Xenopus tropicalis: one gene and its partners. The protein of the gene in region 1 interacts with the protein of each later gene in a pairwise test. Links are inferred from orthologs where the notes say so. Each region holds a gene or a part of one and is shown in the gene's direction. Other genes may lie near its edges.

Region 1 (3,654 bases):
CGTTGCACATATACCAGGCAGCTTTTCCAGAGAGTTTCTACAGTAAATGTACAATGGCGAAACAATCAGAGAGGGCTGCAGCTACTGGGTTCATTTTATATGCAATGTTAATGTTTCAGAGTAGATTGCCCATTAAATCATTCAATTATTAATGGCTGCAATGTTTTATTCAAGGGCTCTCTATACGTATGAAGGTAACAGCAATGACATCAGATTGGCTGAAACTGGAGGTGAGTGATCCATGCCTTTTACGCATTGGTTGTATGACATATGGGGGCACCCATTGGCCTCAGTCACCCTGTTTTGCTATGGTTTTATATCCCCCCTTCCCCTGGCATTCTGTCTGTATTGACTGTGTATGGCGTCATGCAGCCCACCATTCAGTGGTGTCAGTGCCCAGCTATGCCTCTTGATACACCGATTTTTTTCAAGAAAACCTAGTCCTCCCCCCCCCCGAAAATCACAGATCCTTGGCATGTGAGTAGATGTGTTGGTCCCTTCACAATAGGCAAATTACATCTCATCCACAGACTCCAATAAAACCACACCCGAGCGTCCATACTGCCATGAATCATAATTTATATTGCTGAGACCCTTAACAAATCAGGAACACTTATAGATCCAGCTGGACGGGTGGCACAGATTCCAATGACATTGGTCACTATTTTAAGCACTTAAAGACGCCTGTTGTATGTGTGGTTATGTCACCTTTATGCTGACGATGGAGCCAGGGTAATACACTGCCCATAGATTCCCATTTCTGTGTATTTGGTTGCAGTGACTGGAGGTATTTTTCTTCTGTTATTTTTTCACCTATTTTTCTTTTACCTCAGATGGGGGGCTTGAGGAGCTAGTGGAAGAACTGAGCAGCGGCAAAGTGATGTACGCCTTCTGCAGGGTGAAAGACCCCAACTCAGGACTCCCAAAATTTGTCCTTGTGAACTGGGTGAGCTTTGGAGACCAACAAGTATCCTACAGCCCCTTTGTCCCTGATATATATTTAACATTTCTCCCATTTTTTTTTCTTATAGACAGGCGAAGGTGTGAATGATGCCCGGAAAGGGGTCTGTGCCAACCATGTCAGCACCATGGCCAACTTCCTCAAGGTATCAGACTGTAACAGCACTTCATAAATCTGCTATTAACTTGTCCGAGGAACATGACACACATGGTTGCTATTTAGGTAAAACAGTGGAGCTGCTTTGCTCCTTCTGAACTAGATTCAGGGATTAGCCACTTGCCCGAACATCTACTTTTGGAATCAGAAGGAAATGCCCGTAGCTGTGATTTATAATGCACCTTCACCTTCAGTAACTGGTTTAAAGGGGATCTGTCATGGCGATAAAACAAACCCATGGAGGATGAAGAATAAAAACATTTGGAAAACACATTTAGTTAACATCCAGTACCGTTTGGGTGATTTTTTTACAGCAATAAAAATTCCCCTTTTCCCCTATTCCCCCCAGTGAACCACTGATCATAATATAATTAGAGAGCAAATTTCAGCCTGTGCAAAAAAACTGAATGGTGTTGCAGCATAATGACAAGACCTAGTAAAAGACATACCTTGCACTGTAAGCTGAAAAGGCCTTGATGTAGTGGGAGCCACATCCAGTCATAGCTCTGTATTGCCAGGTATGAATGCACTTCTGTCCCCTAGTTCTATTATCTGGTCTGAGTCTTCATCTCTTATTCCTCCCTTACTTTTCCTTCCTAAAAATCCTTGCTGCTTCTTAAACTACTTGCCTTTTAATTGCTTAAAGAAATAATGTCCATCTATGCCAATTTAGACTACCTTATCTCTATACTTAGAGGCAGACGGGGCAGAAAAAACACCCCATGCTTTTATCTGTCTGTGTGCCATTGCCCCACCTTCTACTAATTTTGTATCTTACAACTAATATAGGATTTGTTGACTGCTAAAATAATATATTGGTATAGCTAAGCAAATGGCAGCTAAGGACTTATAACATCAAGCACCCCCTTGTGTATATAGTCATGGCAGACTACTTAGTTGATCCAAAGCAAGTTCTTTAAGCTAATGTCACATGTAGGGTACTTTAGCCCATGGAGTAATGGCCGATACCTTCACCCTTACTGTCTTGCCTCCAGCTTTGCCCAAGTTTGCTTACCCAACTGGACTGGCAATCTGTAGATTCAGGCAAATGCCAGAGGGGCTGCTGTAAGATGCCATAGACAGTCACTATTTATTGGGCTGGTAGGGGGCTGTTTGAGGGGGGGCATTTTGAATTCCAGTCTGGGCCTGGATGGGACTACTTTATTATCTGTACCAAGGCTTGATCAAATAGGTACTGGCCTCCTCAACTCCACTGGGGAACCATATTTTCCCACATGTAACTAGGCCCAGACTGGCAATCTGTAAATTCTGTAAAATGCCAGAGGGGCTGCTGTAAGATGCCATAGACAGTCACTATTTATTGGGCCCCTGTGTACTTGAAATGCCAGGGCCTATTTTAAATCCCAGTCTGGGTGTGTTACTGACATCTTGCTTTCAACATATTTTATTCCATTCCTATTATTCCAGGGTGCACATGTTACAATTAATGCCCGTGCCGAAGAGGATGTAGAGCCAGACGCCATCATGGAAAAGGTGGCCAAAGCATCTGGCGCCAACTACAACTTCCACAAGGAGAGTAACAGGGGCAATGAGGGACCCCAAGGACCAGTGGTAAGAAAAGGTTTTATTTTAAAAGCTGTGGAGAGAGACAAAATAAAGGGAAATTAGAATTATATGAACAGTGTTACAAAATAGTTCTCTCCAACTCTTTTCAGGTATATCCCTCTATAACATGTGGGGGCCAACTTGAACTAAAAATATGATTTTATGCAAAATAAAACCCTTCACTAAGTAATTGATTGTGAGTTATTCCAGTGTTTGATATATTTTAATCTTTTAACAGGGGTCAGTGTATCAGAAAACCAATGCAATGTCAGAGATAAAACGCGTAGGAAAGGAGAATTTCTGGGCTAAGGCAGAGGTGAGTAATGGTGCTTGTACGGATCTAAAAATGACGACCAGGGTCTAAAGGTGCACGTGAAATACACAGTTCCTCTGTCTCTCAGAAAGATGAAGAGGAACGGAGATTGGAGGAGCACAGGAGGGCAAATTTAGAAAAGGATCGGTTGGAAAAGGAGCGCAAGGAGAGAGAGCAGAGAGAGGCTGAGGAGAGAGAGCGGAGGTTCCGAGAGAGGGCAAAGGAGATAGATGCACAGAGGTGAGTGCCACATTTGTACAAGAGAGCGGAGAGCAAACATAATAAAGAAATGACTGGAGACAAAAGATAAGGAAAGGAAAGAGAGAGAAAAGGGAAAAGCACTGGAGCTTGTACAAAGAGAAAGCAAGGAAAGAGCATAGAGAGCAGAGATTCTGAGAAGACTGGAACTGAGCGACACACTTGAACAATGGATGAGCAAATTTAGAAAGGGTTTGGAGGTAACTTAAAGAGGTGGTTTACCTTTAAGTTAACTTTTAGTATGTTATAATAGGTAATTCTAAGCAACATTTTAATTGGTCTTCATTATTTATGTTTTTTTTAATTTTTTGCCTCCTTCTGCTGAGTCTTTGCTGTAGAACAGTGCTCTACTTTCTGCCTTTTCAGTAGGAACTTAATTGGATCTATTAGGAGCAAGGAC
Region 2 (3,654 bases), on another chromosome or scaffold:
ATGCTTAATAGTCATGGTTATATCATTGTCGGGCTTATTTACAAACACTGGGCAAATGTGCTTCCAACCAGTAATTAGCTATGTTCAGTCAGCTGCAGCAGGAGTAATGAAAGCAAATATTTCAATGGTTGCCATGGGTTATTGCCCAGTTGTAAATTTGCCCAACCATTGTAAACAAGACCTTGGTTTTAAGTACCCCTTTTCAATAACACCAAGGACATTTCCATGTGACAAAGATGATGTACTGTCATGTGCTCTTTGCGCATTTTCGGCCGAAAAGATGTTCCCACCTGTACTGGTAGCTGTGTAAGGTTTGCTGTAACGCACCCCATGATATTGTATTTGGAATTGCAATTTGCGCCTGCTAAATTTTAATGTTGACCCATCTGAGTCTTACAACTTGTTTATTATATACTGAATTCTCAAAATCTAAGTTGGAACTTGCACTATGGAAAAATATTTAGGCCACAGTTTAACATAATTTTCTCTTACACAGAAATACATTTGTTTATTGTACAACTATTTTTGCTCTCAGGAAAAAACAAGAAGTGGAATTATCCCAATTGTCTACACTGAGACTGCACCCTCACAACAATGCTGACTTACTGAAAAAAAACACTGATACCAAGCAAATGGTTAATGAAAATGTCAGAATAGCAAATCAACAAATCATTAATGATGAAAACCAGGTAAATAATAATAATAATCTCTGTCCCTACGAAAACAAATAATTTTTTGGAAAGGCCTTTAAACTAACCCACTGTATTATATTTTAGCTGTCTATAAGCAAATTTTTAAAAGATTAGGTCAAGTTTATAATTACCCATTGTGCAAACTCAATATATTCTCAAAACTTCTTGTAAAATAAAATACTCAGGACTTTTTTAATCACTAAAAGGCAGGTCACCTTTTTTGTCACTGTGCAGCTATGGCATACACCAAATTTTTGTACCCTTGAAAAATTTAAAATGGCTTTAGTTCCACTTACACCCCCAAAGTACCTTACATAAGCGCTGGAAGTATTTTATTTTTTGCCATTCTGCAAGTTTCAAGTGGGAGAACAGGGAAAAGGTGACCATCAGGGAGTTCATAGAGCAGTAGGGGCTGGTAGGCTGTTGTCAGGCAAGCAACTGTAAATTTCCTGATTTCCTGCTTTTAAAGCATGAGGGCTGAAACTCTGTGTTCGTCATGTTTAATGCGTGACACTTGACAATGCTGAAATAGTGAACATTTGTGTACATATATATATCTTGTGTGAGGATATGTAGAGCATAATCTTAACCCTGTAAATATATAATAATAAAATGTCCTAATTTTTTTATTACTATTTATCCCACTATGTTTGATGTTAACAAGGTAAGCAGACTTATTATTTTTGTTTGAGTTACTAGCCATTTTTTGTGGACTTCCTTGTTGGCACAGTAATGCTATGCAGAAATGTAAGACTGGTCTGGCCCTGGAGGAATTTGAATTAATATTGTTTGAGAAAACTGAAAACTTTTATGGCACAAAATATAAACAGTAGGTCAAGAGAAAAGAGAAAAAAAAATGGTATTCAGCTGCATCCCAAATTCGGAGCATAACTTTATACTTGTTTATTAAATGAGCCCAATAGCAATGTATTCTACTTATAGTGCAGCATATTATTTTTTTTTTACTAAAGACCTTTTATCAGAAACGTGCCTTCAAGCAGGCAAGTCTTTATAACATTTTTAGCAAAGAGAGAACTAAATGGATTTACGGTATTTGTTTTTTGTTATCGGCTAGTATGCAGGTGAATAACAAAAAGCTAAAAGTGTTAACTGGGGAAGCACAGGTTCTTTCATGAACATGACAAATCAGATACACCACCTAAAATACTAGGGGACAGCACAAATCCTCTGCTGCAAATGTTTTGTATCTGAACACTAATGGGTGTGATTTTTCTTTATTTCTCTATTATTTGTAGCAGGGGATTTTGTAAATTATGCCTGATTTATTGACTGATCTTCATGCAGGTCGTTTACACTGGTCACGCACACTTTTTGATATCCCTTTCCTTATCCAGAACAACCTTTTCCCCAGGTCTTTTGTGAAGTTTTACATGTATGATTTTTGTGATCATGAATCACTGAAAACAAATGTTTGCTGACTGTGGCTGCCACTTGCAAGTTGTTAAGTATTAAACACTGTTGGAACAAAACTGGCATCATCCATTAAGCATTATTTTCCACTCTAACTAAACCAAACATTAAAAAATATTTCCTCATACTCCACTCAGCCCTCATTTTAGGGGATTTCCAGTTCACATAAGACACATATCTGTAAAGAATCAACCAGGTAGTTAAATTGATATACAGTGTAAATTAACCTGTTTCTGTTGTATTTAAAATTAGGTGGAGTCAGTCACTTGTTATTACAGATCTCCTATGTCATACTGTAAAAGAAAATATTGGACTCATTTCTGGTAGACGGAAAATTATCAAAAACTGTGCGCTGAATGCAACACAAGTGCTGATTTATGTATGTACATACTTATTGGTTTACTAGGTTATATTTAGTAAACTTAGCCAAACGGCCATATACTTGGCAATAAAACTTTTAAACTCCATCAGCCATATAATATATAATAATAAACGAGTAACTGGAAACATACATTTATAATTAATTACATTTTTTTGTGGTTTTGAATTATATAATGTTAGTGATAGTCTCTGGGGGGGGGGGGGGGGGTGAGTTATATTTCTGGTTGAGTTCTACTTTAAATTTTCAATGCTAATTCAAAAATTATTCCCAAAAATTCATATTGTTTAGAGAGAAAAATGACTGAAAAAGCTTGCAGATTTTAATTGCATTGTTGTAAAATTTTGTGCTTTGTATAACTGCATGCAGTGTAAGAAACTTTTGAAAAATATATTAAATTATAATCAACCTGCTCATCTAACTAAATATGTTTTGATTTAACAAGAATTTTACTTGTTGAATTTAATTATTGACCCTCTTTATTAAAGGAAAACTATACCCCCAAACATTGTAGGTCTCTCTAAAAATATATTGTATATATAAACAAAATATATAACAAGCTCGTATGTAAAACCCTTCAACTAAATAAACCATTTTTATAAAAATATACTTTTTTTAAGTAGTACAGTATGTGCAATTAGGTTATCCTAAATAGAAAATTGCCATTTTAAAAATTAAGGGCCACCTCCTGGGATCATAGGATTCACAGTGCACACAAACAAGCCAAGGCACACATACCTGCTAGGCCACATCAGCCAATTAATGGACAGAGTTCTGTCTTTTGCTTCCACACTTCTTCCTGTTAAAGTTAAAGCTGCATTGTTTCTGGTCATGTAATCTCTGAGGGAGCACACAGCCCATAACAAAATGGTGGATCAAGGTAAAGGATGTAAAAGCATAAAATTTACTAATATATATATATTCCAATTTGGCGAGATTCTTTAATAGGTTATATTATGTTAAGTGACCTATCTGTTAGTTAAGTGTTCACTCTGGGGGTATAGTTTTCCTTTAAAGCCCCAATTAAATTATTACTACCATGACATTACTCAAATCTACTCAAAGAGCTTTTCCACAAGTGATTAGAAATGTTTTGATCATTCCTGCATGTTGTAGATTGGTTTGGATAAGCTGGGGTCTTTGATCAAATTT
Region 3 (4,450 bases), on another chromosome or scaffold:
GCAACTAAACTGGTAAAGGGGATGGAAGGGTTAAACTATGAGGTTAGACTGTCACGGTCGGGGTTGTTTTATCTGAAGAAAAGGTGCTGGACATAATTGCCCTTTACAAGTACATTAGAGGGGATTATAGACAGATAGTGGGGGGTCTCTTTTCACATAGAAAAGAACAAAGAAGAGCCCTGACCTCACTGTAGACTTTTAGGGCTCTTGCACAAGGGGAGATTAGTGGCCCGTGACAAATCTCCCTGTTCGCGGGCGACTAATCTCCATGAAATGCCATCCCACCGGCGAAAATGTAAATCGCCGGTGGGATGGCATACGTGGCGCCTAGGAAGTTGCCTTGAGAGGAAACTTCCTAGATCAGTGCTGTATTATACGTATACTAGTAACCATTTGTCTTTTTATTTATTTATATTTTCCCTCCCAATGCAAAATATGCAAAGTGTATTATGTAATATCCCTACATAGCAAGCAAGATATATGGTTGTTTTCAGGCACAATGAGCTTATAGGCCTGGGAGGGGATGTGCCTGTCATTATCCACTTCTTGTGACCCCCATAGAAAAGAATAGGGATGCGACTCACAATGCGACCTTACCCCAAGTGGCAGTTTGTGGCCCTATTAGGAGGGGCACCTTATTAAACACCATTCTAATAGGAGGTGTGCCTTATTCAAAACTATTCTATTAGGAGGGGCACCTTATTAAACACCATTCTAATAGGAGGTGTGCCTTATTCAAAACTATTCTATTAGGAGGGGCACCTTATTAAACACCATTCTAATAGGAGGTGTGCCTTATTCAAAACTATTCTATTAGGAGGGGCACCTTATTAAACACCATTCTAATAGGAGGTGTGCCTTATTCAAAACTATTCTATTAGGAGGGGCACCTTATTAAACACCATTCTAATAGGAGGTGTGCCTTATTCAAAACTATTCTATTAGGAGGGGCCCCTTATGAAATGTTAGGCATTGCCCTTTTTTCAACACTATTCTAATAGGAGGTGCACCTTATGCTGCCCTCGTCTGATAGGAGGTGTTCCTTATTCAAAACTATTCTAATAGGTGTGTTGTATTCAACACCAATCTAACGGGTGTCCAAGTTGCAACCCCATTCCAATAGGAGGTGCCCCTTATGCTTCAACATTTTAATGCGTTGCACAGAGGTGTATGAAATGCAGCCGTGTTATTCCCCAAGTCTGCCTCACTCTAAAGTGTTTTATGTGGCCCCTGGTGACTGTGCCTGACCGTACAGTATCTTAGCCAGCCGTACAGACTTAGCCTGTTTTAGATTTCGGCCCCCTTATGTGATTGAGTTTGACACCCCTGCTCTAAAGCATACAAACAACATTTAGTATTACCCATTTACAAGTCCATTAGTATAGGATTAAAAAACTCTGAGGTCAGATTTTTCTACATTTCAGCAATGCCATGACATATTTGGCTGAAAGCATGGCCGCTGTTGCCCATGCCGTTAGCAGACATTAGAGGAGAGGCTAGACTGAGGCCAGTTCAGGTGAGCGTGCCTTCCCTCAGTTCCCTTTTTCATAAATGGGGAAGCGCTTTCTCTATAAAAGTAATGTGGTCCCCGCCCGGAAATCCCCCTGTGATTTCTTTATTTTTTTAAAAGGCAGCAATTGGCTCAGGGCTGGGTTCCCATAGTAAAGCCGTGGGCTTACGGCCAGGACGCTTGCATCTGATAAATGCACGTTGCAGACCCCAGGAAGGAGGAAGTTGCAGCCACAAGACAGGAAATAAGTCACCGGCCAGCTCCATCGCTTGTGTCCACCCTACAAGCAGCATTAGTTCAGCTTTTTCCCCTTGAAGCTCGCAGCAAGGCGTGGAGCAGAGCGGCACAGAAGTCACCGTTAACTTCTACTTCCCCTCCCCATTATCTGCACCGTTCTGAATACTCGTCCCCTCTGCTCAGCATGCGTCTGGCCTTCCGGACCATGTTTTTTACCTAATGGCTACAAATATAAAAAGATCACAGTCGCTGGCGGTTTCATTCGAGAGGAGGACCATGTGTAGGCAGGACATAAGGTAAGTGATTGCTCGGATGCAGCAATCTCAGTCTTACGTGGGTTATTATTATTTGTATCCATAGTACACAGAATACTGGGGATCTATCAACATGGGATAATGGCTCCCATTTATTAACAGTGGGCAAAAAACTGTGCAAATGTTGGTATAGGTTGGCACTTATTATTGCCCCAGGTGCAGGATGACACTGCCAGTGCATGGCACAACATTTTACATTAGTAGGAGTAAGTAAATCCTGCACTAATTACATACTCGTCAATAGGGGTGTCAATCTTGGCCATTCTCTTATATGCCCTCCATTGTCACCAATGAAATCATGTGTGGGTGCAGAAGCCAAAGAGAACCCTGAGCTAAACAGGTGAGTAAATGCAGGAGTAAGTGCCATCTCTATGGCTTCTATACAGATGCACATTTGCACCCATTTCTGCAGCTAGCACTTTGCCCACTGTTAGTAAATCAGGCACAAGAAGTAATAGTATCTGCATTAATGACCAGATTGTGTTTCCCAGTGAGTTGTACAACAGTTGCTTGTTTGGTTGGCACTGTAGCCTGGCATAGTGATGTATAGGGGTCTCACCTGCATGGCTGTCAATGTAAAACTATCTGGTGATTGGTTGCTAGAAAGGTTTGCTTCCTGCAGACTTGCTGCTGGCCACATGGAACTGTATTGGTGGCATACCTGTATGACTGTGTTGAAGGGGGAAAATAATTGGGTTTATTTTGTTGTCTATTTAGAAAGGGCAGCTGACTCCATTAGTGGGGCCTGAGGCAAAGTGGAGCCCCGTAATTTAGATCCCAGCCCAACAATTCTCTAGCTGTTAGTGAGATATAACCCTCAGCATCTCCTGGCAGCCTTTGGCTGATGATGGAGGCAGGGAGTTTAAACCAAGCAACCAATAGGGCAAAAGGGTTAGAAGGCAAGCGGTAATAAAGGTTTTAAATAGAGATGCACCAAACCCACTTTTTTGGGTTTGGCCGAACCTCCGAACCCACCCAGAAGAATTCGACCGAATCTCGAACCGAATCCGAATCCTTATTATCATATGCTGATTAGGATCGGAAGGGGTTAAAACCAGGATTCGGTGCATCCCTAGTTTTAAAGCAGTGGGTGCCTTTGTTTGGAATGTAATACCATTAATGTGCTAATTATATCATAGGTGGAACTGCTGGATTGGCATGATATTTTTTATCAGGACCCCCTTTCAGTTTGCCACTTTATTATTGCATTTATTTGTTATATTCCCTTCCTAGATATGTGGTGCGCACCTCTATACTCTGCATGTAACTGCTGATCGGCAGTACCCCACAGATGTAGGATCCATTTAAAGACAGGGCTAAGAGAAGGGTTACATTGACTATAAAAGCCAGGTCTGTGTTATAGAGACATCATCACTAAATAAGGCCTGTGATACAGTAAGTGCTAAGGGTATTATCTCAGGCCGAGGAAAGACAATGGCTGGGGGGCTGTAAGACTCATTTAACAAACAAACTAATAATTATTATTGTTTATAGTTTTCTGTTCAATCCCTCTCCTGCTTGTACATCATTCTAATGCCAGGTTGCTAAAACCAATGGCCATAGCAACTAGATAGCAGTCTTCTCTAGTTCTCCAAACTAGAGAAGTGCAGAAGGGGAAACAAAAGTTATAATGTCATTAAAATCTCATTGCCACTGACTGAGGGTTCTGGGAGTCACAGGTTTGATATCCCTTCATAGACCATAAAACCTTCCTTTTAATAATGTTACTGTTTGCTTTAATGCACATGAAAATGACTCATTCATTCTGTTTCTTGTGTGTTTATAAATAACAATACTTATTGCTCGCTACTGAGTCACACTTTCCAATAAAATTTAATCTGCGAGACTGATGTGGGAGGGATAGTCAGAGCCAACAGAGAGCAGAAAAGAAAGAGACAGACAGACACCATGATTTACAAAAAAACCTATTAATTATTGAATGTTTGTTTTTAATGTATGTTGAAAAGTTGCTTAGAATTTTTAGGCAAAATTCTATACAGGTATGGGACCTATTATTCAGAATGCTTGGGACCTGGGGTTTTCCAGATAAGGAGTCTTTCTATAATTCGGATTATTACAGAGAAAATGGAATCATTTAAATATTAAATAAACCCAATAGGGCAGTTCTGCCCCCAATAAGGGGTAATTATATCTTAGTTGGGATCAAGTACAGGTACTGTTTTATTATTACAGAGAAAAGGGAATCATTTAACCATTAAATAAACCCAATAGGGCTGTTCTGCCCCCAATAAGGGGTAATTATATCTTAGTTGGGATCAAGTACAGGTACTGTTTTATTATTACAGAGAAAAGGGAATCATTTAACCATGAAATAAACCCAATAGGACTGTTCTGCCCCCAATAAGGGGTAATTATATCTTAGTTGGGA

The links.
Region 2: the proteins of dbnl (region 1) and sh2d4a interact in binary tests that used the Homo sapiens proteins (3 or more experiments, as listed by UniProt). The two-hybrid records come from large-scale screens. The link is inferred for Xenopus tropicalis from reciprocal best matches to the Homo sapiens genes DBNL and SH2D4A.
Region 3: the proteins of dbnl (region 1) and sh3bp2 interact in binary tests that used the Homo sapiens proteins (3 or more experiments, as listed by UniProt). The link is inferred for Xenopus tropicalis from reciprocal best matches to the Homo sapiens genes DBNL and SH3BP2.

The regions. Positions count from the first base shown.
Region 1 is NC_030679.2:126,682,894-126,686,547, reverse strand, and holds part of dbnl (drebrin-like protein), read left to right. Parts: intron 1-174; coding exon 175-230; intron 231-833; coding exon 834-946; intron 947-1,031; coding exon 1,032-1,106; intron 1,107-2,545; coding exon 2,546-2,689; intron 2,690-2,921; coding exon 2,922-2,999; intron 3,000-3,084; coding exon 3,085-3,236; intron 3,237-3,654. UniProt on the Homo sapiens protein: Adapter protein that binds F-actin and DNM1, and thereby plays a role in receptor-mediated endocytosis.
Region 2 is NC_030677.2:96,296,687-96,300,340, reverse strand, and holds part of sh2d4a (SH2 domain-containing protein 4A), read left to right. Parts: intron 1-535; coding exon 536-689; intron 690-3,654. UniProt on the Homo sapiens protein: Inhibits estrogen-induced cell proliferation by competing with PLCG for binding to ESR1, blocking the effect of estrogen on PLCG and repressing estrogen-induced proliferation. May play a role in T-cell development and function.
Region 3 is NC_030677.2:22,009,844-22,014,293, forward strand, and holds the start of sh3bp2 (SH3 domain-binding protein 2), read left to right. Parts: upstream 1-1,571; 5' UTR 1,572-1,966; coding exon 1,967-2,043; intron 2,044-4,450. UniProt on the Homo sapiens protein: Binds differentially to the SH3 domains of certain proteins of signal transduction pathways. Binds to phosphatidylinositols; linking the hemopoietic tyrosine kinase fes to the cytoplasmic membrane in a phosphorylation dependent mechanism.